Linked DNA regions of Arabidopsis thaliana. The protein of the gene in region 1 purifies or fractionates together with the protein of each later gene. This does not show direct contact. Each region holds a gene or a part of one and is shown in the gene's direction. Other genes may lie near its edges.

Evidence for each region.
Region 2: the proteins of AT2G34970 (region 1) and MAC3B fractionate together in Arabidopsis thaliana (co-fractionation; one large-scale study listed by BioGRID). This does not show direct contact.
Region 3: the proteins of AT2G34970 (region 1) and MEE5 fractionate together in Arabidopsis thaliana (co-fractionation; one large-scale study listed by BioGRID). This does not show direct contact.
Region 4: the proteins of AT2G34970 (region 1) and RPN5B fractionate together in Arabidopsis thaliana (co-fractionation; one large-scale study listed by BioGRID). This does not show direct contact.

Annotation. Positions count from the first base shown.
Region 1 is NC_003071.7:14,743,657-14,750,338, forward strand, and holds AT2G34970 (Trimeric LpxA-like enzyme), read left to right. Parts: upstream 1-2,579; 5' UTR 2,580-2,683; coding exon 2,684-4,876; 3' UTR 4,877-5,127; downstream 5,128-6,682. Other genes in the region: CAT5 (cationic amino acid transporter 5), read right to left, coding at 519-2,228; SETH1 (phosphatidylinositolglycan synthase family protein), read left to right, coding at 5,311-6,222; AT2G34990 (RING/U-box superfamily protein), read right to left, coding at 6,604-6,682.
Region 2 is NC_003071.7:14,125,087-14,134,264, reverse strand, and holds MAC3B (MOS4-associated complex 3B), read left to right. Parts: upstream 1-3,040; 5' UTR 3,041-3,264; coding exon 3,265-3,277; intron 3,278-3,372; coding exon 3,373-3,458; intron 3,459-3,705; coding exon 3,706-3,777; intron 3,778-3,863; coding exon 3,864-3,926; intron 3,927-4,264; coding exon 4,265-4,351; intron 4,352-4,500; coding exon 4,501-4,642; intron 4,643-4,731; coding exon 4,732-4,853; intron 4,854-5,101; coding exon 5,102-5,218; intron 5,219-5,565; coding exon 5,566-5,661; intron 5,662-5,742; coding exon 5,743-5,802; intron 5,803-6,147; coding exon 6,148-6,222; intron 6,223-6,316; coding exon 6,317-6,421; intron 6,422-6,651; coding exon 6,652-6,768; intron 6,769-6,865; coding exon 6,866-6,943; intron 6,944-7,032; coding exon 7,033-7,117; intron 7,118-7,218; coding exon 7,219-7,270; intron 7,271-7,397; coding exon 7,398-7,468; coding exon of another isoform or gene 7,469-7,473; intron 7,474-7,544; coding exon 7,545-7,681; 3' UTR 7,682-8,124; downstream 8,125-9,178. UniProt on the Arabidopsis thaliana protein: Probable ubiquitin-protein ligase which is mainly involved pre-mRNA splicing and DNA repair. Component of the MAC complex that probably regulates defense responses through transcriptional control and thereby is essential for plant innate immunity.
Region 3 is NC_003070.9:1,896,866-1,906,090, forward strand, and holds MEE5 (Ribosomal protein S5/Elongation factor G/III/V family protein), read left to right. Parts: upstream 1-3,085; 5' UTR 3,086-3,242; intron 3,243-3,367; exon of another isoform or gene 3,368-3,431; 5' UTR 3,432-3,564; intron 3,565-3,646; 5' UTR 3,647-3,658; coding exon 3,659-4,399; intron 4,400-4,485; coding exon 4,486-4,554; intron 4,555-4,658; coding exon 4,659-5,852; intron 5,853-5,963; coding exon 5,964-6,062; intron 6,063-6,175; coding exon 6,176-6,334; intron 6,335-6,450; coding exon 6,451-6,536; intron 6,537-6,620; coding exon 6,621-6,819; intron 6,820-6,897; coding exon 6,898-7,008; intron 7,009-7,099; coding exon 7,100-7,306; intron 7,307-7,619; coding exon 7,620-7,718; 3' UTR 7,719-8,032; downstream 8,033-9,225. Other genes in the region: AT1G06200 (Peptidase S24/S26A/S26B/S26C family protein), read right to left, coding at 1-98; AT1G06210 (ENTH/VHS/GAT family protein), read left to right, coding at 702-1,187, 1,276-1,557, 1,738-2,121; CLE3 (CLAVATA3/ESR-RELATED 3), read left to right, coding at 9,110-9,225. UniProt on the Arabidopsis thaliana protein: Splicing factor involved in pre-mRNA splicing and component of the spliceosome. Essential for reproduction. In female gametophyte, is necessary for the egg cell and central cell fate determination and hence reproductive success.
Region 4 is NC_003076.8:25,892,507-25,899,409, reverse strand, and holds RPN5B (regulatory particle non-ATPase subunit 5B), read left to right. Parts: upstream 1-2,823; 5' UTR 2,824-2,964; coding exon 2,965-2,967; coding exon of another isoform or gene 2,968-2,971; exon of another isoform or gene 2,972-3,070; coding exon 3,071-3,265; intron 3,266-3,425; coding exon 3,426-3,533; intron 3,534-3,645; coding exon 3,646-3,750; intron 3,751-3,848; coding exon 3,849-3,905; intron 3,906-4,009; coding exon 4,010-4,206; intron 4,207-4,349; coding exon 4,350-4,449; intron 4,450-4,543; coding exon 4,544-4,656; intron 4,657-4,757; coding exon 4,758-4,911; intron 4,912-5,009; coding exon 5,010-5,087; intron 5,088-5,164; coding exon 5,165-5,383; 3' UTR 5,384-5,630; downstream 5,631-6,903. Other genes in the region: RGF9 (root meristem growth factor), read left to right, coding at 1,325-1,400, 1,566-1,729; ABR1 (Integrase-type DNA-binding superfamily protein), read right to left, coding at 5,754-6,490. UniProt on the Arabidopsis thaliana protein: Acts as a regulatory subunit of the 26 proteasome which is involved in the ATP-dependent degradation of ubiquitinated proteins. Acts redundantly with RPN5A.

The DNA of each region.
Region 1 (6,682 bases):
GTTTTTTCTGACCCTAAACGCTAATATTCCCTTGAGTTTTGACCTATATTTGGACCAATGACGTGGATTAGTTCATTCTTTAGAGTTCATCGTCAACGTACTGGTAAGTCTTTGTCTTCTTATGTTTCTGAATGCTGTGATGCTGTTGCTATCTTAATGCCACTTGCGTTGTACATTTTGATCAATGTAACTAATTTAGTAACAGATTTGAGATAACTGGATGAAGTCAATTTAGGTTGCAGAGGATTTCGAAACTGGTTGATTTGAACTCTAAATGACGAGAATGGAGCCTGAGAGAACAATTTTGCAACATAGTTTGGATTCAGTGTACTTAACTCTATTTCATGTTTTGATAAAGAGTCCTTGTGAAAAAGACTTTTCTTATATATACAAACTTTACTTTTTGCAGATTACAGAGAATACAGAACGAAGCAGTTCATGAAGAAAGCAGAATAACACTAGGGTGGAAGGAAGAGACCTTTTCAGAGGTTACATTTCTTCTCTGTTTTCCATAGTTGTTATGTTCTTGGCACAATTTGCTGATGAGCCATATCGAATGTTGCATGAAGACCAAGCAGGAAATAGTATAGTAACATGGCTAAAGTGCAAACACCAAACCTTACAAAAGCCATTGCTCCCAAAGATCCCATGAGAAAGATGTTTGTTGCTATTGATAAGCACGGGAGCCATGGCACTAACGGTACGCCCCACACTTTCGGTGTTCGTTGCTGAGGAACAAAGAATACGATCCCCAAAGTTCCCAAGAACCAGAAAGGAACTGTTACTGTGTAACCGATCCATGATCCCTTGCGCTGCATTCCCCAATACGCCGAAGTACCCATTGAAGAAACAACGACGAATAAGAGACAAGTGATGAGCTTAATGAGATGAACTCTTGGAGTATCTTGTCTCACGTAGTATCTCCTCACGAGTAGTGCGATAGGCATCATTGTGAAGATGAAGAGAGTACTTATCGATAAGAGGCTTGCCAAAACATCTAAACCAGAAAAGAAAGCAATGAGAGCACTTGGAATTGCTACTAGGAGGTTAGCGTTTATCGGTGTTCCTGTTTTGGGATGGACAAGGGCAAATATAGGCGGAATCATGTGGGTCCGTGCGATGTGAGTAACGTATCTCGCTTGTCCCAATGCTCCTACTAAAAGAACTGTGGTCATCCCTTTGAGAGCACCAAGTGCCACCAAGTACTTTCCCCATTTCATTCCAACGCTCTGAAACGCTACTGAGTAAGCTGCATTTGGATCTATATCTGTATACTTCTGCATCATACTCAAGGATAATGCCATCAAGCAGTATATCACTGTTATTATCGACATTGAACCGAGTAACCCGATTGGTATGTCTCTTGATGGATTCTTGGTTTCTTCAGCCATTGTTGCTATGCTATCAAATCCTCCATATGCAAAGTACACAACTGCAGCTGCTCGGAACACTCCCTCAGGTCCAAAAGGCAAGAATGGAGTCAAATTTGATGTGTCGGCGTGGATAAAACCAGCGATTATAACAAAAAATATCACTAAAGTGTTGATAGCAGAAGCTATCCAGTTGAGCAATGAAGTCTTTCTTGTGCTGATCGATGCAATTGTAGCTGAAGCGGCTATAACAACAACAGCTATTGGGTCCAAGAGATTAAAACCGGAACTGAGATCTGTTTTGATCCGTAGAGCGTTCGGGCTACGATTCAGAAGAGTTGCAAAATATGAAGTCCAGGCTCTAGCAACAGCTGCAGTTCCAACAATACTCTCAAGAAGTATATTCCCTGCAGTGATGAACGCCGCAAAATCCCCAAGCTCAATCCGTAGATAGGCGAAAGAACCACCAGCCACAGGGATTTCCACAGCGAATTCCGTGTAGCAGAAGACAGAGAGCATAGCAGAAAGACCTGAAACAACATAAGACAAGACAATAGCTGGTCCTGCTTGCTCATGAGCTTCTTGACCTGTCAAGACAAAGATTCCAGCTCCAATCACCGACCCGAATCCAAACCATACTAAATCCCACCATGTCAAACACCGTTTCATCTCGTGCTCACTCTGTTTCTTGAGCTCAAACCGCTCGTTCTCATCATCAGACCTACTAACCAACCTGTTCTTGAACCTGGAACATGTCTGAGACAGAGCAGCTCTGTAACTACCAAAGCTCTGGAAAGATTCCTCAGGAAAGAAATCTCTCTTGCTCCATCTCCAGTATCCTCTCTCTTCACCTTCCATTCTCTCTGCTTCAAAGATTTGTTAATGAAGAAGAGCTAAAGAGACACCATCTAATTTTGTTCCATTGTTTGACTAGTAGAAGTTTCAGACAGTTTTTTTGTATTTTTGCAGCTTCCCTGACTTTCCTCAACTTTGTGTACTGTCCATTCATAAACCTCCCCACTTGTTAGATTTGCTACGTCACCTTCATAACTCTCATTGTCTTTATTGGCGTCTTCTTACCGTTTCGTTTAGTACTTCAACCATGAAAATTCATGATGATAACATACATAATTCAGTGCTTTTTTACTCTTAGGGGGCTGTAAAATGATAAATTGTCATATTAGTCCTTCAGATTTTTAAAAGATGTACATTTAATCCTCTTTTCTCAATTCGTCATAAATTAACTTCAGTTTATACTCAGGGTTTTAGATTTTCCCGTGAGATCGAATTTGATCAGTGAGAGAGGAGGAGATATGGGTGCTCAGAAGAAAGGCGGCGCCGCCGCTAGGGTTTCAGAGGATGCGGAGGTACAGAGTCGCCACCGATTGCAAGCAATTCTTCTTGCCGACAGTTTCGCCACGAAATTTCGTCCCGTAACCCTAGAACGCCCAAAGGTACTGTTACCGATAGTTAATGTTCCGATGATTGATTACACATTGGCATGGCTCGAATCTGCTGGAATAGAGGAGGTTTTCGTCTTCTGTTGTGCTCATTCGATGCAGGTTATCGAATATCTGGAGAAATCCGAGTGGTATTCGCATCCAAACTTGCTTGTGAGAACGATTGAGTCGCACAAATCCATCAGTGCTGGAGATGCTTTGCGTTACATGTATGAACAACAGACAGAGACGTCTCAGATTCAAGGTGATTTCGTTCTTGTTAGTGGAGATACTGTGAGTAATATGCCACTTGCTGATTTGATTCAAGAGCATAGAGAGAGGAAGAAGAAAGATGAGAAAGCTATTATGACTATGGTTATTAAGCAGTCTAAATCTTCTCCACTTACGCATCAGTCAAGATTAGGAACAGATCAGCTTTTCATTGCTGTTGATCCTTTGACAAAGCAGCTTCTTCATTACGAGGAAGATAAGATTGATCATCCAAGTGGGTCAGTTTGCTTAGAGAAGTCATTGTTGGATACTAATCCTTCTGTTTTAGTATGCAATGATATGCAGGATTGCTACATTGACATATGTTCTCCTGAAGTGCTTAGTCTCTTTGAGGATAACTTTGATTATCAACATCTGCGTCGTCATTTTGTCAAAGGTGTGCTTGTGGATGATATTATGGGTTATAAAATCTTCACTCATGAGATTCACTCGAGCTATGCTGGTAGGATTGATAATTTCCGAAGCTATGACACTGTTAGCAAGGATATAATTCAGAGGTGGACATATCCTTATGTACCAGATATTAATTTCAGTGGAAATCGGCCTCTAAAGCTCGGGAGACAAGGGATATACAAGGCTTCTGATGTAGTTCAATCACGATCTGCTGATGTTGGAGCTTCTACTGTCATTGGATACGGTACGAAAATTGGTCATGGGGATAAAATCATGAACTCGGTTATTGGGAATGGATGCTCTATTGGATCAAATGTGGTGATTGAAGGCTCATACATATGGAACAATGTTACTATTGAAGATGGGTGTGAGATAAGGAACGCTATTGTGTGTGATGGGGTGAAAATCAGAGCAGGAGCTGTTCTGCAGCCTGGTGTTGTTTTGTCTTTCAATGTTGTAGTTGGACGGGACTTTGTTGTGCCTGCATACTCAAAGGTTTCCCTACTTCAACAGCCAACGACAGAAGACAGTGATGAAGAGCTGGAATATGCTGATAGTAGCAGCGGGACTGCGGATCATTTGTCAGGCCTAAATCTGCAAATGGAGTCCAAAGCATCTGAGCTTGGTCCTGATGGAGCAGGTTACATATGGGAAGTATGTGAAGGGGCTCATGATGAGGAGTGGAAGCATTCTGTTGCACCAATCCCCAAGGATAAACTTTCTGAGATTACTCAGGCCATAGACGATGATGACACAGATGATGAAAGTGTCGTCCCGACTTCTGGAGAGTTGAAATCTGATGCTGATAGTATTAACACTGATGTGAATGATCCCAATGATGATTACTATTACTTTGAGAAAGAGGTTGAAGGGACCGTCTTAAGGGCTGTTGAAGAGAATATCAAAGTGGACCTTGTAACTATGGAGATTAACGGGCTGCGGTTGTCATTCAACATGGAATCTGCAGATTGTGCTGGAGCAACATTTTTCTCGATGATAAAACTGGCACTTGATACTCCACACAATTCTGGTAGTGAGTTGTATAAAAACGCAGCGAGTATCATTACAAAATGGAAGGATCTTCTTGGCTTCTACGCAAAGAAAATTGATGAACAGATAGAAGTGATCATGAAATTTGAAGAGATGTGTCAGGAATCTCACAAAGAGTTGGGCCCTTTGTTCACACAAATTCTACATCTTCTATATGACAAGGACGTGTTGCAAGAAGATGCGATACTGAGATGGGAGGAAGAGAAGGCAGGCGCGGATGAAGCTGACAAAGTATATCTGAAACAATGTGATACATTCATACAGTGGCTCAAAGAAGCATCTGAGGAGGAAGATGAAGATGATGAAGATGAAGAAGAAGAAGAAGATAACTGAATTGGTATACCTGAGTTCGATGGCTCTCAACTAGTTGTTCATTATGCAGTTGATGGCCTCACATTTTGATTGATCATTTACTTTTAAGAGCTACTCTGTTTTTTGTTCTGTCATCATCAATAATCTTTTTTTCTTCATGTCTTCTGTTCTGTTGCTTCATGAGATACTTTCTCATCCACGAGTTTGCTCACATGTATCGTTTGATATATAATTTTACTTGAGTACTAAATCTCTTAATTTTTATTTGCCAATTACTCCCTCTACTTTTTCTTATTTCAAAAAATAGCATCACAAATTCACTAGATCCTCCTTCCTCTCGATTCAAGCTTCCTCTTTGGACGAATCGTTTGCTTTCGCATCCCTCGCTCTAACTTGAATTGATCGAGGTGACGTAAGAACCCTAATTTTGGATCCAAGAATCCGGAACCTCCCCAATGGAAAGTAATCTCGCCGGAGACTCAATTCCGGGACCCAAATGGAGGAAAGTAGCCTACGGAGGAATGCAAATCGGATACGACGACAATTACACAGACGAATCGTTCCTCGAGGAAATGGTGATGAACGCAAACGTAGTGAGACGTGATTTGCTCAAGGTGATGAAAGACTCTGTCTCAATCTCCCAATACCTCTGCATCGTCGCGCTTGTAGTCTTGGTTTGGGTTCACACTCTTGAATCATCTTTGGACGAGAACTCGCTTTTGCTACTTGATCTCTCTCTCTTAGCATCAGGATTCTTAATTCTCCTCTTAACCGAAGAAAAAATGTTATCTTTGAGTCTCCTCTTGCGTTACCTCGTCAACATCTCCTTCTTCACCACGGGACTTTATATCTTAGCTCCGATTTACCAGACTCTCACGCGATCTATCAGCTCAGATTCGATATGGGCAGTCACTGTTTCACTCCTCTTGCTTCATCTCTTCTTGCATGATTACTCTGGTTCCACCATTAGAGCTCCAGGAGCACTCAAAACTCCGAATTTGACAAGCTGCATATCTGTCAATGCTTCAATTGTAGCATCAGTCTTTGTTGCTTCACGTCTTCCTTCTAGGCTCCATGTCTTTGCTGTGATGCTATTCTCACTTCAAGTCTTTCTCTTTGCGCCTCTTGTTACTTACTGCATCAAGAAATTCAACTTTGGGTTGCATCTTCTCTTCTCCTTTGCTCTAATGGGTTTGACGCTTTACTCTATTTATGCATTGCATAGACTCTTCTTCCTTGTCTTTCTTTCTCTTGTGCTTCTTGTCAATGTTGTGTGTCCTTATTGGCTCATTAGGATGCAAGAGTATAAGTTTGAGATTAATGGTCCTTGGGATGAAGCCAAGCTTTGTTTCGACATTACAGATTGACCATACTCTTCGGATAGTTTATATAACTGAAATTCATTAGACTTGCTTTTCTTCGACTTGTATTAATCTGATCTGATTTTGCATTGTAGTGTATGTGTATCTATGATCAGATTTTGTAGCTAGAAACAAAGATTATAATCTTCTATATAAACGATGTCGTCACGAGAATGTCAATAAAGTTAGGACTTAGGATGGCCGAGTGGACACAAGTTCTGGTCCTCGTAAGAGGGTGTGGGTTCAAACCCCACTTCTGACATTTTAATCTTTTTTTTTTGGACTTGAATATTGGTCATGTTCGAAAAGCAAATGATAGCAAACAGACAAACAGACAAACACAAATGTTGTTAGCAAAAAACACACACCAAGAAAATTGCCTATCTACTACACTCGATCATCTAGCTGGGATTGTTCAACTGATATTCGGCGGGAATCCTTTGACGGAGCCACCGCTTCTCCGCCA
Region 2 (9,178 bases), 620 kb from region 1:
CTCGAGTTTATATGATCTATACATGTAAGCAAAATTTCAAAGACAAAAACATCTACGCATTGCATGAATAAAAATGAAAGCAATAATGAGAAGAGAATTACGATGGAAAGCTGATCGTGAGAGTGAGACGAGATCATGTCTTGCAACATGTTTGTGTTCTTTGTATATCTCCAATGTTAATGCGAAAACTTTCTGGGAAAATAAAGAAAATTCCCGAGAAAATATGAATTATAGCAAGAAAATTAATGAACGAGGCTTCAAGGATGATTTGTGGAATAATATTGGAATGAGTGATGTATGATGAACAAGAAAATCCATGGAAGAAATTCAAATATTGGGAGGAAAAAACAACAAAAACTGAAAAAACAAAGAGGTAATTGAATTAAAAACAGAACAAAGGTTCTTCTGTTTGGACAGAGAAGAAATTCAAATTCTTATAGTTTTCTGGAAAAAAAGAGGTTATGGGAGTTTCACGTAACAATCATACATATATATATATACTTTTGGTTTTATGTGTATGTATATATTTGTATATACTAAACTAATGCATGTGTGTTTCAGTGTATGTACAAATTATTTTCACATAATTTTTATAATATATTCCAGCGTGGACTTGATGCAAAAATGTGATACCCTCGATTCTCCTCTTCACATGACGTGGAAAGCCCACGTAGATATAATGGTGTTGACGTGGGTAAAGGATCTCACGTAGGAGGAAACTATTTAGACCGGTCAATGAGTTTGACCCAATTCTTGTTCCGTGGATTTTGACGTTTTTGACTGAAAATCGTCCTAAATTAAGCCCTATATTCGTGGAATTAGTTTCTATGTTTTTAATTTAGATATGCATTTTTCTATCTTTTATCTCGTTTGCTAATTTTATTGACTTGGCTCATGATTTCCCGCAAAGGAGAGAAAAAGATTTCGACCAGGTCAGTAAAGTATTAGAAAATAGAAGATATCTAAAGTAAAATGCTACTGGACAAAATGTCTTTGGACAATAAGCATATTATTTGCCTTAAGAAAATATTTAGGGATATCAGATAAAATTCGAAAACAATGTTTAACCAACTTCGAACATTTTTTTTAATAAAAAATATGAAAATGATTTCATATAGAAAAATGCTTTGATTGTGACAGTTTGAGCATAGGGTCAATGCATTGTTATTCAAAATTGAGAATATTTCACTTTCGTACACTTTTGTTATTCTAATAACCATAAGGTCCATAACAGAAAAAAATTAATATGAGAAGATATGTGTGTAGAGACTACAGGCTACATGCTCGAGATCTCATTATCGGTACGTAAGACACAAACAAAAGTACGAGTCGTACGTGTTATCCATCAAACTATAACTTACGAGTGTTTATTTCACATTTATAGTCTTCAAATAGGTAAACACGGATTCACTTTTTGTTTAAGCCCACGATTTACATTTGTACTTGTGTTGCCGATAAAAATAAAATATTATTTTAATGGTTTTGAAAGCGTTTTTGGTTACTATAGTAGATCTTAAGTGTTTTTTGTATTTCACTTATTTCATTACATGGAAAATATAGTTCTCTTCTTTTTATTTGTTCTAATCATGAGACATCAACATCGCCTTTCAGTATCTTATTTTGGTCACAAAAGTCTATCTACCATTTGAAAATCATTGTCAAGAGTCTATCTAGTTATTCTATGTCCAAAAATATTATTACTTCACTTTCAAGTCGTCTGCACAAACTAAATTTTATATGAGGTTTTTTTTTTGAACACAAAATTGTGTATGAGCTTAAACTACACTACACACGTGCATAATAGCGATTAAGACACATATTATAAGGATTATCTGGGTGTAGAAGTTCAGAATTTGGGATTACGAGAATTGCAATAAATTGTTTACAGATTAAAATTTAACGAAAGGAAATTAAAATAAAAGTAAAACAGCTTAAGATCAAAGCTGATTTGATGAATTGATACTTTTGAAGATATGACCATCTTCATATAAAGTCTGAAATGCAATATATGCATCACGCATTATCCAAATAGAAAACGACCACCACTTTAATTTCAAGATATAAAACCAATACCTAAAATGAAGAAAATTTATATATGCATGTGCATCTGTAATATATAATCAACCATTAATTATCTATATATAATTACGATTCACCAATATTAATTACATAATCTCAAACGTTATACGTACGTATTATTTAGGGTTGAAAACAAAACAAAATGTCATGCGTATATGAACTATACATATGCGTCATTAGCTCGTTCTTCAATCTAGGTTTAATATGAAAAATAATTTTTTCTTCATAAATATCTTTTTCTTGGAGCATTGTTTTTTTTTTCTTTTTTCTTTTTTTCTTGGAGCATTGTATTTGTATGAGAGTTCGCTTTCATCTTTGGATCCTAAGAATATAACTTTTATGCAAATAGAAAGGACACAGCTATTGTGCTTAGGATGGTACCCTCATCGTCCTATCTTTAGACATTAAAAATAAAATACCATTGATTTTGACCTTAGGTATATAATTTGTATATCGAACCCGTGGAGGTCGCATTTGCAACGTGAATCCATAACGATATACCAACAGATAAACCATATCTCTAATTGTCAATGAAATGTACAAACATATATCCCTTATTCTTTCATCTTAGAACATATTTTTAGGATCTCTTGAACGGTTGATTTTGTTTGTTGTGATCGAGGATATGTTGTTAATTGTTATTTGATTGTTGGTGAGTATGGAGTGTTGGTGGGTAATGGGTATAAGATAGGCGATTAAGATGCAAAGAACAAACCTACCTCGGTCTCATTCGATATTTGTGCTCGTTCTTTAGATTAAAACATAGTCGCAACAACATATAACAAAAAAAAATCTGTAACAAAACAATGGGTTTGTTTTATAATCTAATGAGTAAATGTACATGAATCAACCAAAATTACTGAATGCCCAATTTTAGTTCAACATGAGTTAAAACAGATTTTAAAACTAATATAAAACGTCGTCAATTTCAAATTCTAATGGTTGGATCGATTTAAAAGCCCAAATATAAGAAGGTGATCGTTAAAGGCCCAATTAAATTGAATCCCTAATATATCAAGTGAGAGTGTTAATCGTCGTCTCTCTCTTCAACCATTTCCCGGCTTCCGCGTTTTTGCTTTGTAGCGCCGGACCGGAGAAGATAAAACCCTTGCTCCGCCCCACTCACAGGAAGTTCTACATCGACCTGAGTTCTCGTACTTCGTCGTATCACTCGTTCTTCCTACGATGAACTGTGCAAGTAAAGCTTTCAGTCGTCTCTCTCTATTTTTTCTCAATATGCCGATTTAGGGTTTTCTTATGGTTGATGTTGGTGGCGGCACTGTGTTCTTTCAGTTTCAGGAGAAGTTCCCGTGGAGCCAGTGGTTTCGACGAAGTCAGGATTACTCTTCGAGAGACGACTAATCGAAAGACATATATCGGTAAGCTTTGAGCTGAATTAAGCACTGCCAAGTACTTTTACCGTCTTGTTTTTTTTGTTCTCACTGGAAGGATTTCTCGTAATTTGAGTGATGTTGTTTGGTTTACTTCGGATGATTCTTGTAGCACTGTGAAATTATCGAGAAATTCTTTTGGGCACCAATGAGATCCGATCTCCAGTGAGAGCTCTTTTAGATTATCACGCCACTTGGAAATGAATGATTTCTTCTAAATTATTTTCCTCTGTAGGATTATGGGAAGTGCCCGGTTACTGGCGAACCACTTACCATTGATGACATTGTTCCCATCAAAACTGGGGAGGTAGTGTAATCTCTTTAACTATTTGATGCAAAGTACTGTTGACGATATTTGTTTGAGATTTTTTAATGTAATTGTCAATTGTGTAGATCATAAAGCCGAAAACATTGCATACAGCTAGTATCCCTGGATTGCTCGGAACGTTCCAGAATGTAAGCTTTAATTGTTCTTTTGCAAATTTGTTCCTACCTTTTCTCTTGGATTTATGCTTGTTTTCTTAATGGGAAGTTCACTAAGAAATGTCACAATGTTTTATGTTATTGGTCATGTAGAGTTTGGTTGATTGACTTAAAATAAATTTTCCAAGGTTGTTTCTTAAATGTATACAAGATTCGTTTAACTGAACACATTGGCCTCTTCTCTTTAGTAACATTATTACGCGGATCACCTGCTCCTTTTCTGAGTGCTAATCAACATAAATTGTTCATTTTTTTGGGATGAATTATTCGAAGTAATTGCGTGAGAAGTTTAGCTGCTTTGCATTTTTTAGGAATGGGACGGTTTGATGCTATCAAATTTTGCACTGGAGCAACAACTACATACTGCAAGGCAAGAGCTAAGTCATGCCTTGTATCAGGTAATTTTGGCTGTGTGTTTCTGTCACCAGTTTATGAGGTGCCATGGTCAATAAATTTGTTTTATGCACCCTAGATTTATTTTCCTCACTCATTTCATCTTTTAGTGTGTTTAGTCTACTGATGGGACTGTTTTACCTTCTGTTTGCAGCATGATTCTGCTTGTCGTGTGATTGCTAGACTTAAAAAAGAAAGAGACGAAGCACGCCAATTACTGGCCGAGGTTGAGAGACATATACCTGCGGCCCCTGAAGCTGTGACAGCTAATGCTGCTCTGAGTAATGGTAAACGAGGTATGATTGTACACTTTTTACTCAAAATATATTGGCTAGTTATTTTTTCCTCTTGTAACATGTCACTATACTCTTTTGTTGTATAATAGCTGCCGTTGACGAGGAACTGGGTCCTGATGCAAAGAAATTGTGTCCTGGAATTTCAGCTGAAATTATTACGGAATTGACTGATTGTAATGCTGCTCTTTCCCAGAAGCGAAAAAAGCGACAGGTACTGCACATAGACTCGTATCTATCTTTGAATATGCATTTGAATGTTAGAAGGCAAGACCTGACGACTTGCTACGTTTATGTATTTTTTCTTGTTTGTAGAGGCATGTGATTTATACTCACTATATCTATTTAGATCCTAGTATTCGGTTTGAAACTTAACTAAAAAAATGTTGCCCTCCTGCCTAGTCTTGTGATTTTTTTTGTATTGGTTCCTGCTGTCTTGATAATTTTAATATTTTTCTGTAGATTCCTCAAACATTGGCGTCAATAGATACTTTGGAGAGGTTCACTCAGCTATCAAGCCACCCACTTCACAAGACCAACAAACCAGGCATTTGTTCGATGGACATTCTACATTCTAAGGTCCCTCATCTGATGGTTTTTTAATCACATCCCCTTATTCTTATTTTCCTCTGTTTCTGAAAGCCTCTTCATAGCATGTGATAACCGACTGGCAAACTTCTAATCTTCTATGTATAAATTATTTGAATATAGCCTTGAGTCCTTGGTTGGGGAATGATCATATCATTGTTATGTCTTTTTTGCATAATATTTTTATTTGCCTATTACATACCTATATGCTGTGTGTGATAGTTTGTATTACGACCACGACCAGGGATTCTTTGCATTTCTTTGATCTTATATTATGCTAAGTTTTGGTGTGCAAAAATTTACATCAGAACTATATTTCTTCTTAATTCGGTGACCAGGATGTCATTGCTACTGGAGGAGTTGATGCAACTGCTGTTCTCTTTGATCGCCCTTCTGGACAAATCTTGTCAACACTGACTGGTCACTCGAAGAAGGTTTTTAACTTTTTGCCTTAGATTTTTGTTTGAATTTGTTTCATGTAGCTCCATGCTTGATATGTGTTGATTCTTTTGTAGGTTACAAGCGTAAAATTTGTAGGCGACTCTGATCTTGTTTTGACTGCTTCTGCTGACAAGGTAATTTCATATGTCATATTTTATGAATAGTGCTTGGTATTAGTTCTATAGGAAATTGTAATCCCACATTGTGTATTGCCTTCGTTTTGAAAAGTAGTAGCCGGCAGATGCATTTGTTTATTTGTATTGTGAAAAGATGACTAGTAGCCATTGAATCTTTTTCTGTAGATGTCATGATGCTATCTTTGAAAACTTTGTTTGCTGCGAGTTATAAAACACATTTTGATCACTCACACCAGAAGTCTCTGTAATTTGTTGGATGCTCTGTTCGATTTCACAGAGGATGTACATCACCAATTGTTCGATAGTTATCTTTTTATTACTAAATTAGTGACTTACCTGCAGACAGTCCGTATCTGGCGGAATCCTGGGGATGGGAATTATGCTTGTGGGTATACATTGAATGATCATTCTGCGGAGGTAAGGATGAATTTGAGGAACTCTTACAGTCCGTTCCATGTTCTTTTAATTCATATACTTTTTGTGTAACTTTAGTTAATGATGCTTTATTCAGGTGCGAGCTGTAACTGTGCATCCCACAAATAAATACTTTGTCTCGGCATCTCTTGATGGTACATGGTGCTTCTACGATCTGTCCTCTGGCTCATGCCTTGCACAGGTCCCTAAACACTTTCCTTAAAGAACCAACTAATACCTGTTTTCCTTTCTAGCTTTGCCTGTATGCTATATAACAGAAATGATTATATATATTTACAAGAAACAATTGTGTGGATTATACTTTCTTCATGAGCATTTTCATATCAGCTAAAATCCGTGGTTCGGTGTATGGTTAGAGTACGAGCTCCTTTACTCATGAAAGCCTTTGTCATATTCCTTGTTTTTATTCAGGTATCAGATGATTCAAAGAATGTAGATTACACGGCTGCTGCTTTTCATCCCGATGGTCTCATTCTCGGAACCGGTACTTCTCAATCTGTTGTTAAGATTTGGGACGTTAAAAGTCAGGTAAAAACTATGGGCTTCCAAACTATATGACCTATTAAAATTATTAATTGTGTACAGTGTTCTTCATTATAGTTTTCATTTTTTTGGTTGATAATAGGCAAATGTGGCTAAGTTTGATGGACACACTGGGGAAGTTACAGCTATATCTTTCTCTGAAAATGGTTACTTCCTCGCGGTGAGTACTTTGAACAAAATACGAGAAGAGAGAATACAGCTTAAGTTATGCTTACATGAATGATTTTCTTTTTGTCCTGGAATTGACAGACAGCTGCAGAGGATGGTGTTAGGTTGTGGGATCTGCGCAAGTTAAGGAACTTCAAATCATTTTTATCTGCAGATGCGAACTCTGGTACACAACTATCGTATCTGTTTCTACTCATTTTGTTGATAGAGAACTTTCTATGTATTATAAGCTCGCTTTGATTAAACCTACTTTTTTTTTGTGTGCAGTGGAGTTTGATCCTAGCGGATCTTATCTCGGTATTGCTGCATCAGATATCAAGTGAGTACACATTTGAAAATAGTGATCAAAACATCCAAAGCTCAGCTAAAGAAAATATCCAAAGAGACCAAGCTAGCTTGATTAATCTGCACGTTGGGTTAACACAATTTATGTGTTTTGGCTGCAGAGTATACCAGACGGCAAGTGTGAAAGCTGAATGGAACCTTATCAAGACACTCCCAGATCTCTCCGGCACTGGTAAAGTCCCTTACCTAACTCCTTCAATGATCACATAGCGATAATGTTGCTAATTTCGAAGCCCTTACACTTGCAGGTAAAGCTACGTGTGTGAAGTTTGGTTCAGATGCACAGTACGTTGCAGTCGGTTCGATGGACCGTAACCTACGGATATTTGGTCTTCCTGGTGATGAAAAAGCCAACGTCGATGATGACTCTGCGCAAGACTCGTGAACAATCCGTAAAAAACTCAGACAGAACATTCCAAATGTCCATCTCCAGTGTTATCTCGCTCAAATTTCTCAAGTTCTGTTGTATCTTACAGTATTTGCAGCAATGGGGGAGAATTTCATAGGTGCGGGTCATGAGTGAGTGGTGATTGTGATCATCCTCGCTACCTCTTGGAATTCAAACAATGACACTCACAAACCCTCGAGTTTTCTTATAGGCTCTTTTAATCGCTTTGTACCTTCAATATATGTACCAAAAAATGTGTTCTTTCTGTTGCCAAATGAATTCAGACACTAATGAAGATCCCAAACCGATGGTGCTAAACCGCATTTGGTATTATTTAATCTGTTCTAGACAGTGGTGGTCTGCTTAGTATTCCGTATTCCAACAAATGATTTCAGCTGGTCTCTGAGAACAAAATTTTAACTAAATGTTAAAGAATACCCTTGACTGTACTTGGTCAAAAATCACTGGGCACAATATTTACATTTATCCACGAATATCAGATTCGTGATTCCTTTTGCAATTCCAGGATTAGTTTAACTTCACGCAAAAGATAATGTTTTGTAATACCCTTTCTTTATTGTGACCAGGATTGACAATTCGTGTTAAGGTATAACCACGTGTTTCCTCACAATTCTAAAGAATGCTTATGTTTCTCCCTGTCTATATTATTTTTTTAATTTTGTCTGAAAATACTAAAATAACTTGAACAAATCATCGTATAAAAACTACAAAATACATAAACTAAGCTTAAAGAAATACCTACACGATGAACTTTTTATATAGTAATTAGTAACAACTACAAAATACATAACCTTACTAGCTACTGGGAAAAAAATTGTCCAGTTTTAGATGATCAGAGTAAATATAATACTAATTGTCTTCCATTTTAATTATTGTCGAAAACGTGTTTTCATAAAGTAACTATTATTGGGTTTCATTACTAAATTCTAAACATCAAATGGAATTGAAACCAAAAGAGTAGTTATTCTAATTTTAAAAAGTTAGGTGTTGAATAAACAGTTTAAGTGAAATCTAATAATCAAAGACTGCAATACACACACCAAGCTCACTGTACTGTCTTTAGACTGGTCAGTGGTGGCTGAAGAAAGAAAAGAGTGTTTGATTGTTATATTAAAAAATAAAGAAAACAAATTACGCTCCCTTCTCTACAGACTCTCTCTATCCTAATCCTATTTCTTTTTCCACATCTCCTAAAGAAAGAGAAAAGAGTGGTCATCCATCCATCCACAGCCTCTTACAAAATCTCTCTCTTTCACCATTAACACCAAATTCAGAAAACTCAGAAGAAGCAAAATAAAGAGCTTTTACTGATCCACCAAACACAGAATTTCATAAACTCCCAAAAAAGTTAAATTCCAAACAAGCCCCACAACAACAACAACAACAAAAAAGATTTTAATCTTTCTCATTTACCCATATCCTCAAAATTCCCACAAAAATCTTTCCTCCAATAACATAACAAAACAACTCTTC
Region 3 (9,225 bases), on another chromosome or scaffold:
CGACTTTTAATCGGAAGGGACCTCTTCGCCGCGTCTGTTATCTCAGCCTCGTCGCCGCCGTTGTCGAACTGGTGGTCTTTTATGGGTTCGTCGGTCATAAAAATCTCGTGATTTCCAAAATTGCCAAAAATAGTTCATATCTTTAGGAAATATTCAAATTAGCCTCAAAACTATTCTTTAGTTTTATAATTTTGTCCTATATTAAACAAAATTATCACTTTAACCCCCACCAGGAAGCTTCTGACCAAACTTTCGAGTTAGGCTTTGTCAACATGGCACGTGTTCAACAGTCCTTCTCTTTTTTTTAACTCTCTTAACATTTCCTTCCGACAGATTTGCTTGCAGATTGAAGCTAAAATAATCAAAGACAAATACCAAACACAACAACAAATTTTCCAGACGATTTGAATTTGATCATCTCTAATAAACTTCGTCGCAGGTTTGTTCGCTCCTCTCTTCTTTTTCTAGTGTACTCAAGGATCAGCACATTTGAATTTATAGATCCAATTTATTGTAATTGTTTTCTTCCCTGATCTCTATTCGTTTAGATTTTGGTTGATTGATCTCGATTCGGAGTTTACGGTTGTACTGTTTAGTATTATATAGAACGATGGTGACTCGAAACTGATTCGGAAATCAAATTAGGGTTTTTTTAGGGCTTCGTTAAATTAAGCAAAGTCTGGGAAAATTGTGCAGAGAATATGGACAAATTGAAGATAGCAGAATGGGGAGAGAAGCTGAAGACTGGTGGAGCTCAGATGAGCAGAATGGTGAGTGAGAAAGTGAAAGATATGCTTCAAGCTCCAACCTTGGAATCCAAAATGGTGGATGAAGCTACTTTAGAGACTTTAGAGGAGCCTAATTGGGGAATGAACATGAGGATTTGTGCTCAGATTAACAACGATGAGTTTAACGGCACTGAGATTGTTAGAGCTATCAAGAGGAAGATCTCAGGTAAGAGCCCTGTGAGCCAAAGGCTGAGCCTTGAGCTTTTAGAGGCTTGTGCTATGAATTGCGAGAAGGTTTTCTCTGAAGTTGCTTCTGAGAAAGTTCTTGATGAGATGGTTTGGTTAATCAAGAACGGAGAAGCTGATTCCGAGAACAGAAAGCGAGCTTTTCAGCTTATTAGAGCTTGGGGACAATCCCAAGATCTTACTTATCTTCCTGTTTTCCACCAGACTTATATGGTAAATCTCTCTGAATCTTATTTGCTTATTATGCAAAGATGGAATTGTTCATATGCCTATAATCTCCGGCTTGTCTTTTGTTTCATAGAGCTTGGAAGGCGAAAATGGATTACACGCTCGAGGTGAAGAGAATTCAATGCCGGGACAAAGTTCTCTGGAGTCTCTTATGCAACGGCCTGTTCCAGTGCCTCCACCTGGTAGCTATCCGGTTCCTAATCAAGAACAGGCTCTTGGGGACGATGATGGTCTTGACTATAACTTTGGGAACTTATCGATAAAGGATAAGAAAGAACAGATTGAGATTACACGGAACAGCCTCGAATTGCTCTCTAGCATGTTGAATACTGAAGGAAAGCCAAATCACACAGAGGTAGTTGCTACGTTGTCTGCTCATCTAACTTTTGTCATTTTCCTTAACAAATGTCTATGGAATATGGATTGAGTTATGAGTATCTCCTGGTTTACATTATTGTTTCCTTGGATATATGTGCTTAAAGTGAAATTGACAGGACAGTGATAAGTAATAGGTTTATATATATTATGGTTACAGGACGATCTAACGGTTAGCCTGATGGAGAAATGCAAGCAATCGCAGCCATTGATTCAAATGATCATAGAGAGTACAACAGACGACGAGGGAGTCCTGTTCGAGGCTCTGCATCTGAATGATGAGCTCCAACAAGTTTTATCTAGTTACAAGAAGCCTGATGAAACCGAAAAGAAAGCCTCCATTGTGGAACAAGAATCATCAGGAAGCAAAGATACTGGTCCGAAACCAACAGAACAAGAAGAACAAGAGCCTGTAAAGAAAACGGGTGCTGATGATGACAAAAAACATTCAGAAGCATCAGGATCCTCCAACAAAACCGTCAAAGAAGAGAAGCAGGCCGTGAAAATAGAACTGGGGCTTTCGAGTGATGAAGATGAAAAATAAGCAGTCTGTGTTTGTTGTCTTCTTCCGACATGGATATCAGAATGTTGCGAAGAGTTGTTCTTGATGGTTTACTTTTAAATTATAACAATGTACTTCCATTATAAGTGTGGAACCTTTTTAGCTTCGTTTCTCACTTTCTGTTTTAAAGTGGTTTCTTAGACATTGTTAAACCGTAGGTGAATCTTCACCCGAAACATTTATACGAGGTGTTTTGGTTTGCACTTAGCCTATTGCTTATGTGTTGAGAGGTGAGTATCTACATCTCCTCTGGATTATATAAATGGCTTGATAAAATTCACCTCACTCTCCGATAAACTCGCTCGAAATGATAAAACGAAGTCTAACCTTTAATGTGTTTAATGTGTTTAGTCTTCTCAAGTCAAATAATAATCGGAGTCTTGGTCTCTTGGACGATGCTACACAGGGATATTTCAAAAGTTTACCCTTATCACCAACTAGAGAACCCAAATTAGGTCTTGTACCGATTGTAGAGTATATGTCTATACGATACTTCTCACTGTCTCTTGGACGATGCTTCACAGTGATATTCCAAAAGTTTACCCCTGTCACCAACAAAGCCAAATAAGGGCTTGTACCGATTGAAGAGTATATGATACTTCCCACTACACTTGAGTAAAGAACTGTCTTCATGTAATCATTATAACCATCTTGTTATGCTTACTATCTTCTTCAAATCGCAGCTTTCAATCTAAAATGAACTCCTAAGTGACATACGACTAATTTTGCTTCATCCATCGCAAAACGCAAACATCTTTTAAAACTTTTACTGAATTTTTTCTGCAGTAAACATAGTGAACCCGGTTTACGTTCTGGTTTAGACGTTTCAATTTTTTCTAAATTGGGCCGATTGACATATAATTGGACCCGACCCATCAACATATCCCACATCGTTACAAATAGATTTCAATTACTATAATTTAATCAATATATACCGACTAAAACTCTCTGTCCGACGTAGAGTCTTCCAATCAAAACCTAAATCTAAATTTTTCATTCCCTTGTTCCGGCGATAACAGTCTCAGTGGCGACAAACCCTATTGCCGAGCCAACTCGCATTTTCCTCTAGCTATCGCAACGCCTCTCGCTCTCTCTCCCCACCGGTTCGTCTTCTCACTCCTTAACTTTGTTCAGCTTGTTGATTCTACCCTAGGTTATTGCTCTACTCCAACGCTTCTGCTCGACTCTCGCCTTGTTGTTTTTCTTTAGTCCAACTTAGCATAAGCTTCTGCTCGATTCTCTCCTAGGGTTTTGCTCTAGTCTAATTACCTTAAGTTTCTGGTTGATTCTAGCTTTTTCATGGTGTTCTCTTGGACTTGGTGTTGAGCATTAGAGGAGATTACTCGCCAATGGGTTAAATAAAATATGTTGCAGAATTGCTATAGTAAATAACCCAGATAGATCTATCAAAAGCTTGATTTTGTGGTAATGCACTCATTTGACTTTTTTGCCGTTATTGTTTATCTGCTACAAAATCCTGATTGCTCATGGGATTCTTTTTTGACAGGTTTACATAAAGATGGAAAGTAGCTTGTATGATGAGTTTGGTAACTATGTTGGACCTGAGATTGAGTCTGACAGAGATAGTGATGATGAAGTAGAAGATGAAGATCTCCAAGATAAGCATCTTGAAGAAAATGGTTCCGATGGCGAACAAGGGCCTGGGGGTTCTAATGGCTGGATTACCACTATCAATGATGTTGAGATGGAGAACCAAATTGTTCTTCCTGAGGATAAGAAGTACTACCCTACTGCTGAGGAGGTTTATGGTGAGGATGTTGAGACCTTGGTTATGGATGAAGATGAGCAGCCTCTTGAGCAACCCATTATCAAACCTGTTAGAGATATTAGATTTGAGGTGGGGGTCAAAGATCAAGCAACGTATGTGTCAACACAGTTTCTTATCGGCCTCATGTCTAATCCTGCGCTTGTGAGGAATGTTGCTCTTGTGGGGCATCTACAGCACGGCAAAACTGTCTTCATGGATATGTTGGTAGAGCAGACGCATCATATGTCTACTTTTAATGCTAAAAACGAGAAGCATATGAAATATACAGACACACGAGTCGATGAGCAGGAGAGAAATATATCAATCAAGGCGGTTCCAATGTCTCTTGTCCTTGAGGACAGTAGATCCAAATCATACCTGTGCAATATCATGGATACCCCTGGACATGTCAATTTCTCTGACGAAATGACTGCTTCTTTAAGACTTGCTGATGGTGCTGTTCTGATTGTTGATGCTGCTGAAGGAGTGATGGTAAGTCTTTACTCTCTCTTTTTTGGTCTGTATTTTTAATTTTTTGAAGTATACTATTTGTACTGACGCTAATAATCTTTTTTCAGGTTAACACAGAGAGAGCTATACGGCATGCAATCCAGGACCATCTCCCTATTGTAGTTGTTATCAATAAGGTACTTCATGCTTCAACGTGTAACTTAAGAGATACTGTGTGAAATTTTATATTTCCATACATTTGCTTGACCTTTGCTTTTTGTCAATTTTTTTCCCCCAACAGGTTGACAGGCTCATAACTGAGCTCAAACTACCTCCAAGGGATGCTTACTACAAGCTGAGGCATACAATTGAAGTCATTAATAACCACATATCTGCTGCTTCAACAACTGCTGGAGACTTACCTCTTATAGACCCTGCAGCTGGAAATGTATGTTTTGCCAGTGGTACAGCCGGATGGTCCTTCACATTACAATCTTTTGCTAAAATGTATGCCAAGCTTCATGGTGTGGCCATGGACGTGGATAAGTTTGCATCTCGACTTTGGGGAGATGTATATTATCACTCTGATACTAGGGTATTCAAGAGAAGTCCTCCAGTAGGTGGTGGAGAAAGAGCATTTGTTCAGTTTATTCTGGAGCCCCTATACAAGATATACAGCCAAGTGATAGGTGAACATAAGAAGAGTGTAGAGACCACCCTTGCAGAATTAGGAGTGACTCTGAGTAATAGTGCATATAAGCTGAACGTCAGACCTCTACTTAGGTTAGCCTGTAGTTCAGTGTTTGGTTCGGCATCAGGGTTCACTGATATGTTGGTAAAGCACATTCCTTCACCCAGAGAGGCTGCAGCTAGGAAGGTCGACCATTCATATACCGGAACCAAAGATTCCCCCATTTATGAATCAATGGTAGAATGTGATCCATCTGGACCTCTCATGGTTAATGTGACAAAGTTGTACCCCAAATCAGATACTAGTGTTTTTGATGTGTTTGGAAGAGTTTATAGTGGTAGGCTTCAAACAGGGCAAAGCGTACGTGTACTAGGAGAAGGGTATTCACCTGAGGATGAGGAGGACATGACTATAAAAGAAGTGACGAAGCTATGGATATATCAAGCTAGGTATAGAATACCAGTAAGCAGTGCCCCTCCCGGTTCCTGGGTTTTAATTGAAGGTGTCGATGCATCCATCATGAAAACTGCGACTCTGTGTAATGCAAGCTATGATGAAGATGTCTACATATTCCGGGCTCTCCAATTTAATACCCTCCCAGTAGTCAAGACTGCAACTGAGCCTTTGAATCCTAGTGAGCTGCCTAAAATGGTGGAAGGGCTTAGGAAAATTAGCAAAAGCTATCCCCTTGCGATTACCAAAGTTGAGGAGTCTGGGGAACATACTATTCTAGGCACAGGTGAGTTGTACTTGGATTCAATCATGAAGGACCTCAGGGAGCTCTATTCAGAGGTCGAAGTAAAGGTATCTAATTGTATCTCTAATTTGGCTCTATGACTGTGATTCCGGTGTGCAAGCAAATTGCTGATTTGGCTGTTTGATAGCTAAGATCCTTTTGCTTTCTTAAATTTGTAGGTTGCAGATCCGGTGGTCTCCTTCTGTGAGACAGTGGTTGAATCTTCGTCGATGAAGTGTTTTGCTGAGACACCAAACAAAAAGAACAAAATAACTATGGTAAGAGATCTTCTTTTTCCACTATTATCTCTTATATATTAGACTGCGATGTTTGGTATGGTGCTCAAGCACAATTACTTTGTGAAAAATCTGATATCTGTTTCATGCTAAAGATTGCAGAGCCATTGGATAGAGGACTTGCAGAGGACATTGAGAATGGCGTTGTAAGCATTGACTGGAACAGAAAACAACTTGGTGACTTCTTCAGGACGAAATATGACTGGGATTTACTTGCTGCACGTTCCATCTGGGCTTTTGGCCCTGACAAACAGGTGAAATGCTTGTATTCTTAAAACACTGCAATCTGGGGTTTACTTTATCTTTATTGTTATGGTTGGTTTATGTCTGTTTTGACAATTTCATTGATTGTTGATTTTCGACTGATCAGGGGCCAAACATATTATTGGATGACACCCTTCCAACTGAGGTGGACAGGAACTTGATGATGGCAGTGAAAGACTCCATTGTTCAAGGGTAATCATCTTTCTTCTGTTACACTTTTCTTTTACTCGATTTTGTTGGCTTTAGCTAAGTGGCTTCGTTTTATTCCTCTTGCAGGTTCCAGTGGGGTGCTCGTGAAGGTCCCCTCTGTGATGAGCCCATCAGAAATGTAAAGTTCAAGATTGTTGATGCACGGATAGCACCAGAGCCATTGCATAGAGGATCTGGTCAGATGATTCCAACAGCAAGACGTGTTGCATATTCAGCTTTTCTAATGGCAACTCCAAGGCTAATGGAACCTGTCTACTATGTGGAGGTACATAATCCCTTTCCATTTTTGCTCGTCACATTTTTTCTCTTAAAATGATAACTAAGAGTTATGGTTTTGTCGCAGATACAAACACCAATCGACTGTGTAACTGCAATCTACACAGTTTTGTCACGTAGACGTGGGCATGTCACATCTGATGTTCCTCAACCCGGTACTCCAGCTTATATCGTGAAGGTTAGTTTTGTTTGTGTCTTTTCTCCTTACTTTGTTCCTGTTATTTGACTAAGTGATGATTCATTGAGTATATTCTTTGGTGTTGATGCAGGCCTTTCTGCCTGTGATAGAGTCCTTTGGGTTTGAGACAGATCTGAGGTACCACACTCAGGGACAAGCCTTTTGCCTATCTGTGTTTGATCACTGGGCCATTGTGCCAGGAGACCCTCTAGACAAAGCCATCCAGTTGCGCCCACTTGAGCCCGCTCCTATTCAGCATCTAGCTCGGGAATTCATGGTCAAGACCCGCCGTAGAAAGGTATTATGATTTCCTTTGTTTCAATGCACATCCCAAAACTTAGTGGGTTTCATGCGGTTAAAGATACGAATGAAACCATAAACTGATTTGTTACTCTAGTGTTTGGTTAAATGACCCCAGTAAACCCTCACAAACCAAAGGATCCCCGAAACTACTGTTTACAAACCCGGCCCTTGCTAATTACTCTTTAACCAAGTAACACCAGCTATAATTTGCTGGATACATCCTAGGCTAGTTATATTGTATGACTCGTTGGGTGTTTGGATCATCAGTTTCAGACTCTCACGATATGTATAATTTGTTGGTTATGCAGGGAATGAGCGAAGACGTCAGCGGAAATAAATTCTTTGATGAAGCGATGATGGTAGAGCTTGCCCAGCAAACAGGCGATCTCCATCTGCAGATGATTTGATGATCTCTGCACTTTTTTCATATAAATCGTGATTCAGGACTAGTAGTAGTATCTTCTCTTCTCTATATATGTGAAAGGAGAACAAGAAAATGTGGATCAGTTTTGTAATTGATGTGTCAAATTTACGTTGTAAGTTGAGAGATTTTAATGAACTCAACAGTCCACATGGTCACACTCACACATGACTCGCAAATAGTTGACAGGAAATGTTCACAAATTTTTGTAAAATTGTAAACTACTATTGGATTATGGGAAACTGAACTAGGTTATGACACTATCATTTATAAGATGATCTCATAGTTTGTTGTCTATATGATTAGTAATTATACATATGATACAGAGAACGTACGATCCAGATCCTATTTCCGCAAAGAGTTTTCTGCATAACTAAGATTTGATTCTTCAAAAATGCTAAATTTAAAGATAAACCAGGTCAATGGCACAAACCTATCTAGATATAAGTAAGTTTTTCTTCATAATTTAATTTAGTGCACACAGACGACTTATTTTACTCCAATGAAAATCGGTTAATTCGTCAAACGTCACTACTTGTCTCAAAGATTTGTTGTGCTTTACTATTTTCGTCTATTTCATGCTTCCATAATCAGCTTTTTACGTTGACGTGCTCTTTACAAATCGAAGTGGACGTGGCGGCAACCACTTATACTTATTATACATAGAATAAAGCTACAAAATATATAGTTAAGGCCCTGGTGGATTAATATATACATCGTTTAAGGTTTTAGATTGGTCTCCTCCACCTTATTTTATGTGCATTGCCAACTCTGAAAACGTCATGCCTTATCTTCATTGGTTATATCCATTTGGCTCCATCAACCAAACGACGATAATGATTTTCCACATATCCTATATACATTTGGGTTCGGTAGAATTACTACAATACTCAAATTGCTTTTAATTTATGTTTTAGTTTATGGAATATGAATTGTGAGTTTTTTAAAAAATAATCTCCCAATTAAATATTATTAGCTTTTAAGTTTCTATTTCAAGTGAAATCAGTTAGCTATGCATGTCATTCAATATAGACATAATTTTGTTTTCTTCCATTCGTTTTACAATTTTTAACTAACAGAAATTATACATTACGTCACTTACTACGTTCCCACTAAAAATAGAGGCAAATGCAATCAAGTGATGACGACCTTTCAAAAATAAATATTAAGAGATATATAAGAAGGGACTAGCTAGGTAGATATGACTAGATTCCAACTTAATTAACGTATTTAATTTCTGCATAGATGGACGTTAATTAGGACTTTAGCTTCTCTATAAATACCGTAGCTATTGAGCTTATATATGGAGATCACCCCCTTAAAATCTTCAAAGACTATATATCTCACCTTTAAGAACTAAGAGGAAGTTACATATATATGGCAAGTCTCAAGTTATGGGTTTGTTTGGTCCTGCTTCTAGTACTCGAATTGACATCGGTGCACGAATGTCGACCATTGGTTGCCGAAGAGAGATTTTCTGGTTCAAGTCGTTT
Region 4 (6,903 bases), on another chromosome or scaffold:
ACTTCCCCTATTCTACTATTGTGGTCCAGTTTATACCATTATTTATAATCCAAATTTTAGTTTATGATCAAACTTTCACGTTATCAACGAGAATCGCATTCATGATTTGGCTAAGTAAGATTTTCTAAGCCTAATATTTGTATTCAAATCCTGTAAAGCTGAGATATCCTCTCTTACAATAAGTCATGAACGCACAACCCCAATAATGAATGAAGAGTACTCATGAATGAAAATGGTTCCAAAAACATGACACAACAAACTTGACGATATCATCTCTTACAAGTCTCGATACGAAGTTAGTAATATATCTCTTCGTCCACAATTGACTACATAAATATTTTTATGTATGTAGAACAATATTGAATGTAAACTAGGTTATTAATTACGAATCCATTATTTGACTTGCGTATTAATCATTTGTTTTCAATGTTCTGATAAATCATATTCCTTTGAAGGACCACAACTCCATCTCCATGATCAAAGGACCACTCGATTTTCAATAATCTCCTTGAGTTTTATCCCACTAGTCTATATGAGATAGACAACATTATAGTGAATATGGTTATAGAATCTGGATGGTTTATATCAATTTAGACATCATGTAGAAGTACATCTAAACTGTTGGTTTAAGGTCGGCTGGTAGTGTGCACCCATGATTTGGCAACATCTAAACTGGTTTGGTTAATAGATCATGGCAAGTTATTACTCCCCTAACCTCATTTCCTCTTCCTGTAATATATATTGATCTTGTATTTAAAAACATAGAAAGAAGTTAGATTTTGACAGTTTGAAAACTGAGGAAAGTGTTGAGAAAGAGAAGAAAAACGTTTTTCAAGAGATAGTTTCAAGAAATCAACTACAAACAGGCATTTATCAAAGGTGACAAGTCATTGATCTTCGTTCGTGATTTCATCCGACCTTTTGATTACCAAAGTTCCTGAATTTTTTTATTACTAAACTGGGTTAAGGTATGTGTTTCGGTTTAAATTTCTTACATATACAAATGTGAAATTAAGTTTGTAACCGAAATTCTGTTTCTCATTCAAAAGACGTGATTGCATAAATTATCATCATTTATTTGCTTTGCAAACAAGAAATATTAATTTTGTGGGGATAGATTCATGTTAATGTGGGAAGACAGAGAAATATCGACGTCAAATCCTTAGACCCATATGTCTCAATAACTTCCAAAACGTTATTCAATTCCGATATAAAATTGGGACCATAAACTGATCATAGAATCATTCATCTCTATATATAAACACAAAAAGGTTCAACAAAAGATAATTCTATATAACCAAAGAAAAAAAACTCTCTTCCAAAAATGGCAATTAGGGTTTCCCACAAGTCTTTCCTCGTCGCACTTCTTCTCATACTCTTCATTTCCTCTCCTACTCAAGGTAAATTTATAGCTAATATATATATACACACAAGCGCGCTCACCTCACGAGTTTCTAGCTATATCAAGTATAATTTGAATGAATCTTCTTCTTGTTTTTTGGTTGAATATCAAAATATATTACCCAATAATGAGTTCTTGATATATAAACATTTTGATTTTTTAGCACGAAGCTTACGAGAAGTAGTAAGGAATAGAACGCTATTGGTTGTGGAGAAGAGTCAAGAGAGTCGGAAAATAAGGCACGAAGGTGGAGGAAGTGATGTTGATGGATTGATGGATATGGATTATAATTCTGCGAACAAGAAAAGACCGATACACAATCGCTAATAAACACACATGAACTTATCGAATTCTTGTGAGATATCCTGAGATCCAAAGATATCCCGAGATTTTATCTTTTACTAAACATAAATTATAAGAAGTGAGAATGTATTTTATATAAGAAAAGAAGTGAGAATGTAAACTATTATTATTTATAGGAACATATAAATATAAACGACTTTGTATGCATGTGTACAGTATTATCTCGAGGGAAAACAGTTCTATACAATAATCATAGCTTGTGTGTGCTAGCTTTATGTATGGATTGCATCATGGTTTTCTGTTTGTGAAATAAAACTCTATAATATATTATGTGTATATAGAAACCCACAAATATCTTCTTTAACTCTGTTGTAGTATTAGTTCCAATAAAATAAAATTACACCTCAAAAGAGTATTTGCTGATTTTATATATCGAATTCAAACCTACGGAAGCTCCCATCCCATGAAGGTGTTGTGGATATTTGATATCAAAATATGCATATACCAAAATACAATCAAATAGATTATAATTTAAAGTAATAGGACTTTGGAAAAACTAGGCAACATACCAAATAATATATGGGATCAAAGTTTTCGACAAATATCGATTGGTTTTCAGTCTCCAAACTTCTTTCATTTAGAAGGATAGAACTTAAATTCATTAGTGTCTTAATTTTGTAGTTCCACAAACAATAATCCTTGTCTTAACATATAAATTAGTCTTATAAGTCAGTAAAATCATGGTGAAATTTCTCTACTGCAAGTGGAAGGATTCAAAAGAAAGAAAAATAAATCCGAGCAATTGATGGATTTTCTGTTACTGTTAGAGAGTTGCCGAGGCTCGAGCGATAATGGGCCTTAAAAAACTTACTCAAATGGGCCATATGGACCTTAGATTTTCATTTATTACAAATGGATCCTATAGTTTCGTTCATAACATATTACCCAACAGCTATTTGGGTATGACCCTACAGGCGACAGGTAGGTTTATTCAATATTTACCTAATAGACCCAATAGATACTTTTATTACATATGTACACCAAAAGTCTTACACTATTTCGTTAAAAGTCCCAATAAATAAAACGTTATAATTAGGCCCAAATAGTCTGAGCTAAGCTTTTCTTGTTCAAGGGGTTGGGGTTTCGACGCTAACATTCTCTCTCTCAGTGAACCTTTAGAAGTTAAATCTGTTTCATCACCGGAAAGTTTCACTAACTCTTCTTCTCTCTCTCGGAGTATTGATTCCCGGCGTTTAGCAATGGCAAGTCTCCGATTTCACAGATCTGATTTTCAACTCTCTCTCTCTCTTTTCTCTTCCGTTCGAATTTTGGTTTGTCAAATTCGATGTCGTGATTTGATTGCAGGAAGAAAGTAGACAACTCGAATCGTCGATTGATCGGCTGCTGAACGAAGAGAAACAGATGAGGCTCGCAGAAAATGTCGCCGGAACTAGAAAAGCAGCTACCGAGATTCTTAAGCTTTGTTTCGAAGCTAAGGATTGGAAACTTCTCAACGAACAGATTTTGAATCTCTCGAAGAAACGTGGTCAGCTTAAGCAGGTCACACTACTTTCTATCGATTTAGCTTTTGAAACCTGCTTGTGGTAGTTTAAGGTTTTCGATTACTTGGAACGGTTTCTACTGAGTTCTGAATCTTACTGAGAAATTGAATGAAGAACTGAGTGAGATATTGAAAGTGGTTAGGTCTCTTGATTTGCAGGCTGTACAATCCATGGTGCAACAAGCAATGCAGTATATTGATCAGACACTAGACATAGAAACTCGGATTGAGCTTATTAAGACTCTAAACAATGTAGCTGCTGGAAAGGTGCGGATTAGAGTTGGCTATTGTTGTTGTTGTTGTAGTTATATTTGCTTGAATCTTGATCACTCCGTGCAAGTTTTTTTCTTGATGAATATGTGTGTGTGAGCATGTGTAGATATATGTCGAAATCGAGAGAGCTCGTTTGACCAAGATGCTTGCTAAGATTAAGGAAGAACAAGGTTTGATTGCTGAAGCTGCGGATCTCATGCAAGAAGTTGCTGTAAGCTTTTCTTCCTCTACTTTCCAACTTTCGTGGAAATCGTTTTTTATTTATTTTATAGTTTATCAATGTGCATTGATTGTGATTATGAATTATAGGTGGAGACATTTGGTGCTATGGCAAAAACTGAGAAAATTGCTTTCATTCTTGAACAAGTAAGACTTTCTGTTATCTTTTCATATTTCTTAAGCTTTGTGCTTTGTGCTTTGTTCTTGTTTGTATGTTGTGATTCTAATTATTGGTGTGTAAACTTCTGAAGGTCCGCTTGTGTTTGGATCAAAAAGATTTTGTCCGTGCACAAATTTTATCTAGGAAGATCAACCCAAGAGTGTTTGATGCAGATACCACGAAGGAGAAAAAGAAGCCTAAGGAAGGTGAAAACATGGTAGAGGAGGCTCCGGCTGATATACCTACATTGTTGGTGCTAAAACGGATTTACTATGAGCTAATGATTCGGTAAGTCCTTGATTTGGTTTAATACATTCTTCGCCAGTTATTGGTGTCAAAATATTTGAATATTATTCTCCTCTGAATTTTGATTTCCCTTTACTTCTGTGATCTTTATAGTAAAAATATAATGTGCTGATTCTGTTGTGTAGGTATTATTCTCACAACAATGAGTACATTGAGATATGCCGTAGCTACAAGGCGATATATGATATCCCTTCTGTAAAGGAAAACCCAGAACAATGGATTCCAGTAAGTCTCGTATTGTTGTTTGGATGATCTTGTGGTAGTCTACGTTCTGTAATTAGCTTGGATTAACTTTTCTCCCTTGATCCTCTAAATATAGGTCCTGAGAAAGATTTGCTGGTTTTTGGCCTTGGCACCACATGATCCAATGCAATCGAGCCTACTCAATGCAACCTTGGAAGATAAAAAGTTATCAGAGATTCCTGATTTCAAGTAATTCTCTTTATCTTGATAAAAATTTGGGTTTTCACTACTCTTCCCCTCGTTCCCATCTGAAACAGATTCTCAATCCCTATGTTTATATTCTGTTGCAGGATGCTTCTAAAACAGATTGTTACAATGGAGGTGATTCAGTGGACATCTCTCTGGAATAAATACAAGGACGAGTTTGAGAATGAGAAAAACATGATTGGAGGCTCTTTGGGTGACAAAGCTGGTGAAGATCTCAAACTAAGAATAATCGAACACGTAAAGACTCTTTGAGCTCTAATCTATCTTTACCTCTTTGATTGCATCAATTGTTACTGAAGAGTCTTAACTTTACAAATTCTTCACATCTTCTGCAGAATATTCTCGTTGTCTCAAAGTACTACTCAAGGATTACCTTTAAGAGACTTGCAGAACTTTTATGCCTAACCACTGAGGTAAATATAGTTTCAAAATACTCTTAAGTGTACCAGTACATGTTTAAATCTCTTCTTACCGTTTCATTATATTTCAGGAAGCAGAGAAGCATCTATCTGAAATGGTTGTGTCCAAAGCCTTGATAGCAAAAATCGACAGACCATCAGGAATAATCTGCTTCCAGATTGTTAAAGACAGCAACGAAATCCTCAACTCGTGGGCAACAAACTTGGAGAAGCTTTTGGATCTTGTTGAAAAGAGTTGTCACCAAATTCACAAAGAAACAATGGTTCATAAAGTTGCACTAAGAGCTTGAGAACCCGGTCTAGCCACACACATCGGTGGAAAGAATCTTTCAGGCTCTCGTTCTAACATAATCATTTGAGTTTTCTTTCTCTGCTTGGTTCGAACACATTTTTTTTGTGTTCTTTAGGAGACCTTGCAAGATTATATACAAAACTCTCTTTTTTTTCCTTTCTCCATGTGGTCTTTTTAATGTTTGTTACAATGAAACGAAATTATAATGCAAAAATATAATAAATTAAGAAAAAAAGCATGAGAGGATGAAAGCAGAACAATACAAACAACCTAAACCCTATAATATTTGGAAAAATAACTCTATAACATATAATCATTTTCCTGTTTTCTATTACTCTATAGTGAAACAAATAAAATGAAGCAAGTCATCAGGAGGATGGACTATTATTGTAGTTATTACTAGTCTTGTCTGATGGCCATTGTATATCCTGGAGATAACCGGTTTCGCTAGCTGATTCTGGTGGCGGCTGAACAGCAGCCGGGGAAAACAGAGGACGAGAATGAGATGATGATGACGACGTAGATTGCATCATTGAACCTCCAGTGTGACCGAAACGCAACGGAAACGACATTTGATCGTATAAATCCAAAGATTGTTGATGATGTTGCTGAAACTGTTGTTGTTGACGAGCCATTTCAGAGTAACTCAAGTTGTATGATTGCATCAACGGCTGCGAATGAACGCTTTGATTCGAAGCAGGTCTTATGGGCAAAAGGGTAGTCGTTGAACCCGAGTTCCTTGACTGGGTCGGTCTTTGAGCAGCGGTTTGGTGCACAGGTTGTGCTTCGGTTGAAGCAGGTCTAACGAGTTTGACGTTTTCAGGGAAGTTGAGTTTGGCTTTGTTGCCTCTAAACCGAAGTGCAGCTTCGTCGTAAGCTCTTGCTGCTGATTCAGCATTGTCGAACGTACCGAGCCAAACTCTAGCTGCTTTAAATGGATCTCGAATCTCAGCCGCCCACTTTCCCCATGGTCTTTGTCTAACTCCTCTGTATCTTCGCCGAGGTTGGTCCCCACTAAACGACGACGTTTCGCTACTAGCAGTTGCCGTAGTTGTATACTCGTATGTTGGGCCCGGACCTGACATGTTACTCGAAGCTTCTCTCACTGCAAATAAACAAACAAACATGTAAAATTTCACACTTTTGTTGTCACTCGTGAATTAACACTTTCTTACATAAGAAAAAGAATCGATAATATTAATGTCTCCAATAAAGATATTATAAAGTTTTTTTTTTAAGAGCGAGTATGAGAAAGTGATGAGGCAAATGGGTGACAAAAGGAATGAACAAGTAGAAAAAAAAAGGAAGTGGAAAACGACTCTTGATGCAATTGGAGGGAGATAAATTCTTTTGGCATATCATCATCATCATCATCATTTTCTTAATTAAATATCCAACCTTTTTACAACAATTCTAAAGTATATGTCTTAAGATAATCAAGTACAGTTTCGTTATTATATTTATTTTTGTCAACACTTCGAAATATTTATTTACATCTTTACGCTAATTACTATTTTT